2 linked regions of the Oryzias latipes genome follow. The main gene of each other region encodes a partner of the protein of the gene in region 2 in a complex. Links are inferred from orthologs where the notes say so. Each region holds a gene or a part of one and is shown on either strand. Other genes may lie near its edges.

What was found.
Region 1: the proteins of itgb5 (region 2) and pak4 are in contact, whole or in part, in a crystal structure (PDB 7S46), measured with the Homo sapiens proteins. The link is inferred for Oryzias latipes from reciprocal best matches to the Homo sapiens genes ITGB5 and PAK4. Residues at the interface, in NP_002204.2 of Homo sapiens: Ser762, Arg763, Ala764, Arg765, Tyr766, Glu767, Met768, Ala769, Ser770; in NP_001014831.1 of Homo sapiens: Gly330, Ser331, Gln358, Arg359, Leu362, Thr404, Lys442, Ser443, Asp444, Asp458, Phe461, Leu475, Val476, Gly477, Thr478, Pro479, Tyr480, Trp481, Met482, Glu507, Glu512, Phe516, Asn517, Glu518, Pro519, Pro520, Met524.

Annotation. Positions count from the first base shown.
Region 1 is NC_019871.2:3,962,246-3,965,216, reverse strand, and holds the end of pak4 (serine/threonine-protein kinase PAK 4), read left to right. Parts: intron 1-547; coding exon 548-703; 3' UTR 704-2,189; downstream 2,190-2,971. UniProt on the Homo sapiens protein: Serine/threonine-protein kinase that plays a role in a variety of different signaling pathways including cytoskeleton regulation, cell adhesion turnover, cell migration, growth, proliferation or cell survival.
Region 2 is NC_019879.2:658,344-662,161, reverse strand, and holds part of itgb5 (integrin beta-5), read right to left. Parts: intron 1,933-3,818; coding exon 1,764-1,932; intron 314-1,763; coding exon 152-313; intron 1-151.

The sequences.
Region 1 (2,971 bases), on a different chromosome or scaffold from region 2:
GCATCTGATTGGTCAGTTTATAACTGGAATAACTTAAACTACAAAAGAATATTATGGAAAAAATTTGGCTTATTAATAACATGTAAATAAAAAGAGGTATCAGAGCAAGAATGGATGATCTGGCTTCTTGGAGCCACTTCCTGTTTGGGAACGCCGTGGGGGGGGGCACTCAGTCCAGTTCTAAAATACAGTTAGTGATTCTGGTGTTGGCTTTACGATCAGCTGTGCAGATTTCTTCATCCGAATGATCCATCTTTGTGAGTTTGACGACAGCAAAAGTTCATTTTTGAGCATCAAAAAAATGCTTTCCTGCGCTCAAACCCATCAAACAAAGTTGGCAGGTTTGCAGCCTTTTCGTGGCGTTTTACTTACAGGAGCTGCGGGGGGTGGGGGTGGGGGGTGGTCGAGGTTCACCTTCACTGTATGGAGTCGCATGAAAGACCGACGGAACACAAACAACCGCTGGAAACGACAGAAATGTGCAGAAAGTGTTTCCAAAACATCCTGTGACGTCTTTCTCTTCCCCTCTTCCCCCCCCTCCCCTCAGGTCTCCCCGTTGCTCAAAGGCTTCCTGGACAGGATGCTGGTTCGAGAGCCGGCTCAGAGGGCCACGGCCAGCGAGCTCCTCAAACACCCCTTCCTCGCCAAGTCGGGCCCGCCGTCCTGCATCGTCCCGCTGATGAGGCAGAACCGAATGAAGTGAGGGCGGGGGCGGGGGTGTGCGTTCCAAGACCAGAACACTCCTGCACACAGAGGTCGGGGGTCAAACGCCGGCGGTTTGCAGGAGGGCCCCTCGAGAACCGCGGGGAGCGCTGAGCGAAAGGCAGTAAGCTGCAGGCTGAAGGTGCAGCTGCAGCTCCCCGCCGGACGCTCCACCCCAATCCTGCAGTGAACGTTGCTTTTGCACATCGGCCGGACGCCCTGAAGGGGTCTAGAATGTCCCTTCTGGGCCTCCTCCTCCACAGACGTTCTCCCAAACCGAACACTATCTTCATCCAGAAGCTACTACTGAGAGACGAGAGCTTTGACCTAAACACTGGATCCCACTAGATGATTCTTTTCCTGACATGAACATAGAGATATATCTGTTTAACAGGCCACTGTTGTGTTTTCTGTTCTTCCTCTTTAGAGTGATGATTTTGTGAAGCACTGTGGAGATAGACGCTGCTTTCAGCCGAGCAGACACTAAACCTTTTTATTTTTAGTCCGCACGTTACTCAGACAGCAGCGGGAGAAGCAGCTCGGCTTCTCCGAGGCCACTTCCTGCAGCTGATTTCTGAAACTCCGTGTAGAAAATAAGCTAAAAGAGGCGCCGTTTTCCTTTCTTCTTCTCCAGCTCCCACCTCTCTCTCTGCTGCAGCTCTCCGGCTGCTGTTTACAGTAAACGATGTGGATTTTTATGCCGTCATGCTGCGTCGCCCGTCTCCTTAACGCCTCATCGCGGGATCACCCGCCAGTCTCTGAGCGTTTCTTCAGGTTCACCTTAAAAAACAAAGAAGAATCAGCTCAGATGATCGGGTTCTTCCAGCTCTGATCCTCAGAGGATGAACTTCTTAAATGTGAAGAACTAAATTGATCGTTTTTGCTCTCCTTCAGGCCAAGTTTAAAGCCGCTTTACCTCCACGGCAGACGTCCAGACGGCTGTTTGGCGTTCTGGATCTGCTTCGTGGCGTGAAGTCGGTTTATGAAAGCCGCGATGGAACCAACAGCCGGAACTTCTCGGCTCCGTTGATCCAAAAGCGTCACAGGAAGAGCGATGGTTTTGTTGTTTCCCGTTTTACCAGGTCAACAGAAGTCTCCAGTCATCTCTGTGTTCATGTAAACACGCGTGACGTGGAGCTCCGGTCCCTGAGATGAAGAGTCGAGCCTTTCCGCCCTGATTTTAGTGTCAACAGACGGCTGATCAAAGTCTTTTAAGATCATTTAACAGATACGCGGTTTTATTTTATTTTAAGGATTTCAGAGCCTTTTAGTTCCTGTTCTGTGCCTGTCAGTTAGCTGTCATGCCTTAACGTCTTTGTTTTCGAACCGGTCACCTCAGCTGCTGAGAATCCGCAGGTTTTCCTCGCCACGTCCGACGCGACCTGTTCGGCCCGACTTCCCGCCGCAGCAGGACGCCTCTGTAAATGTCACTGTAAAAACGTCTTTGCAGATTTGACTCTTTTTGCAAATACAGTTTTTGTTAAGGATCCCGTGTGTGTCTGCAGTTTGTTCCTCACAGAGCGGCAGCAGGCGTTTGGCAGCGGCGCCGGGAAGCAGCGAGTTTGTGCCTCAGAATCGGAAAAGAGTTATTCAGGAATCACTTTTTTATCAAAAGTGAGGAGCTCTTCCTCTCTGAAAGACCCACTCTGATCTTCTATTCATCTAAAACCAAAAAAGCCTAACGTTTTCTAGACCAGTGTTTTTCAACCTTTTCTGAGCCACGGCACACTTTAACCTTAAAAAAATCCCGCGGCACACCAGCATCCAAAAATTAAAAAAAAAAGGAGAAACTCATAGTCTGTATTGATCTACAGCCCCTCCCTCCACAATCTCACATGCATTTTTGAGATAATTGTTACAGAAAAAGCTGGAAACTGCAGCTGTTTTTTCTAAAAGATGCAATAAAAGATAAGTTAGAAGATTTAAAAATAGTTTGATGTGTGTTCGTTGGTTTCAAAACGTTTAACAACAGATCTCCGTATGCGCTGTCACTCTCACAACCCAATGCATCATGGGAGATGTAGTGCATAAAACGGCCGGAGATTGCTTTTCGGAGCTTCATTGTTTTGTTCACTTGTTCCACGGTCTGATACCGGATTCTGTGGAAAGCTACACCGCTAAAGACGAGCTTTAGCTGCAATTTTTTTTTAGAACTGAGCGACTTTACGAGCTAAATCGGGACAAGGAAGTGAAGACTTTAACCACTTCTGATTGGTCAGACTGATGACATGTGATTAAGCCTTCAAGAATGATTGGTGGAGACAGTTAA
Region 2 (3,818 bases):
TGAAAGCAGACGGCTGAAGAAGACAGCTAAACTTGGAAGTCTCAGCTTGGAGAGCTTCTGTGTTGCTTCATCTCTCAGAACTAAACTGGAGAGGATTTACAATACAGGGGTAATTTTCTGACATAATGAACGCAGTCTCAGTGGACCTTACCATCTTGGTGGACGCGCTGTACTCGTTTTGGTCGTCCAAGTGGCACCGCCCATCGTGAGGCCTAACCAGGCCCCCCAGCCGCCCATCCAGAGCCAGGTGCGGCACGTCGTCCGTGGCAAACACCAGCAGGTGATACGCCTCCTTCCTCCAGCCGATTTTGTCCTGTTGAAGATCCAGCAGTCAGCGTCTCACCCACACCCTCTGCCTTTGAGCAAATACTCATGTAAAGCTGCTGAAGAAGGAGGGCGGCTTGCAGTAGAAGAAAAACCCGCAGTTTTCCCATCAGGCCCTGCTGCAGAGGCAGCCAAAGCCACAAAGGCAGGCATGACCCGAGTCTGGCCCGTGGACTAAATGCGGCCCCCATTAAAATTAAGTAGGCTCTGGTCATAACAGAACCAAGAACATGCGGCCCCAAGCACTTTCTAAAACTGGGTGCCATTGTAAACCTGCAGCAATACTGTCACGCAACCCTTGCAATTAATGGACAGAGTGAGCAGTAGCATCACTGCCAAGTATCAGCAGATCCCTCTCAGTTAAGTCATATATTTGAGCAATTGCTTCAAAGTTATTTCCTTTGAAACAAAGGCGTGGAAAGAGATTTTCAAACTAAAACCTTTATCTTTCATTTGCCAGTTTAGCTCGTGCTGGTTTGCGGCGCCTTCCGTCCGTGAAACCCGGGTTCGACTCCGGGCTGCTCCCTGTTCCCTTCTCTACCTCTGCCGGTTCCAAGCCCGGTTTGAGAAGGTTGCGTCAGGAAGGGCATCCGGCGTAAAACATTGCCAAATTTACCATGCGACTCGTTCGCTGTGGCGACCCCTGATGGGAGAAGCCGAAAGTGGAAGAAGATCTTTCATTTGGGAGGAAAACTTGAATATAAAAAACTGTATCCAAACACACACATACACACGTGTGCACACACACACACAGTGTGAAAACAAGCAGGAGAGCTGTCCAGAGCATTATCAGCAGGAACCAACAGGCAGGCGCAGACTGAACCACGGCGTGTTTCAGCCAATCAGCTAAGAGCCTCTTTGTTGTCCTTTAGCACGTCTGTGAGACCAACAACAGAAAGGCTGTTGTGTGGCGAGGCCCAACTCTGAAACAAACCATTGATGCAGCAAAGACAACCTAATCCCTGCTCAGAGGGCAAATTTACTCTGAATCCAAAAATTACAGACGCCTTCAGACGCAACGCAGCTGCACCTCCTAAACCCGGAGAGGGCTTCTGCTGGAGGGCGTGTGAATGCGGCGTGTAAGCATTGGGTGATGGAATAACACCCCAATCTGTCCAAAAACTTTTGTTTATGCCCCCACAGGCCTCTGCAAAAAAGCGGTGAAGCAGTATTACTTTGTGAAAGAAGTTCAACCAATAAGGCCACAAGTTGGGGAAGCCCCGCCTCCATGCTGTAACGGTTTAACACCAGTTAATTGCAGGGCAGGAGCCACTGTCGTGTCTGGCAAACAATTCCACTGTAGGAGGAAACCGGGCTGAAGCCAGTGCTGTGATAGACGAGCAGCCACAATGGACCTGAACTTCTTGCCCCCCCCCCCCCCCCCCCCCCCCCCAGGAAATGTGTCTCCATCGGAAACAGTGACAAAAGAAGCACCTCACCTCACATACGGCTGCCTGCAGGATGGCGTCAAACCCGCCTTCAGGAGCGTCCCTGTTGCGAGATACCAGCTGCTTCTGCACCTCTTGGTTAAATCGATCCACCTGGTCGGTCAGGGGGAGAATGTGCCGGAAACCGAAGGTGGGGACGCATTGGGGGAACAGCTTGAATCTAAGGAAGGAGATCGGTTTAAAGAACGGGCCCTCTTCTGGAATTTCTTTATGCATGTTATGTTATAAATTGGCCAATCAGATGCCTCAGTAAAAGCATGTGGTGCCATTGGCCCCCACCTCAAACACTCGAAATTTTGATTGACAGATTCTCCTGATCCTGCGTTCAGTGGTAGGGGTGTGGACGTCCAAGAAGCTCACTACGATTGGCGACAGTAGCTGCCATATCAAAAATTAACTCCAATCACTGCAAACTAATGTCAGCTGGCTCCAAATGGCGGCCTCTATATTATGGAAAAATGGCGACTGAATTGCCTACATCTCATTGGAGCCGTAAGTAAGCCATTTTCTATGGGAGGGCATCACACTCGCTCGGTCCGGTAACAGTCAATGCTCTGACCTTTATGCTAACACAGCAGTACGCTTACATGGAGCCGCAGCGTGCCAACATAAAACTACAGTATGCTAACACAGAGGTGCAAGCAAGCTAACGTGAAGCTGTAGTAAGCCCACATCCAATGGACAGATCAGTAAAATGTACCATTTCTTTAGTATACAAAGGTTAAGGCTGCATTCACACATGACACAATTTGCCCATGGGGGCGTCGAGTTTCAATGTTAAGTCAATGTACAGATGCAATCTGAGGTCCTGCGGCACAATTTGGGCGTTAGGCGGGGCGCGTGGGACGCAGCTTTGGGCACGTGACATTTCCAGTGGCTCGATCAAAGAGTAGAAAAATTAATTCAATATGGCTGCTCGACGTGAGGATTTTCATCGTGAACTTCCATCCATTTTCTCAATCCACTGGCGCTGTGGGGAGACGGCTGTCCCAGTTACTGTTGGGTGAAGGCGGGATGCGGCCTGGGCAGGTCGCCAGTGATCGAGCCCGCTCCCGCCGTCTGGCCGGACTCTGATCGGCGGCATTCGCTAGCTCCAACATTGGACTCTTTGACAGGCTGTTGACCTGCCCAGGGTGTCCCCCGCCTTCACCCACCAGTAACCGGGTTGGTCACCAGCAACTCAGTGAAAAGGAAGAGGATCTGGTGAACCCAGCTTAACATCATCCATGTTTTCATGATGCTGCAACAAATAAAGTCCAGAAAAACGTTGGCAGCTGCTCTGCGGCCGGGACGTCAAGGCGTCCAGCAGTAAATCTGACACACATCAAAAGAGAAGCAGCATACAGGAATTTGACACGTGAATCGCGTCCAGTGTGAATGCAGCATAAACTCTTCTGACATTTAAAAAATGTATTACCATCCATACTTAATAGAACAAAATAGAGTTCTTCGGTTTACCAGACTAACATGTTTCTTTGAACACAAATGGAAAAACTGTAAGATCACAAATAACTGAATTTCTTTTTTAGGCCCTAATTCCACAAAATTCACTTTAGATGTTTTAATTCATTTTTAGTTTCAGCAGAATCTGTTGTAGTTGTGGCGATGGTAACCTAAAACCTAAGATCTGCAGAGCTCCTCTATTGTTCAGAGTTTTCAACATTTTCTTTGTGTCGTTTTTTCGTGACGGTTCCACAGCCCCAGTCCTTCCCTGTGGAAGCCCCATCACTAACATGAAGTATGCAGGTCACCACAGGTCAAACCACCGCCATCCGCTGCGCTCTAACCTAAATGGGAAGTGATGCGCGATGGCGGACAGCGAGTTGGAGAGGGGGGGGGGGCTCACCTCCAGGGCAAACATCAAGTCCTCCCCTCCGTGTCATCCACCACACTTTCTTTCCATTTTTGACCTAGCACCCTAAAAAGGCAAATACGCCTTTCATTTTCCCCTTTAGCCTTCAGCCACAGATGGATCGACTTCCATCAACCAATATCCGGATGTGGAGACATTTTTGGACTGAATGCAACAGAACTTCAAGAGTCCAA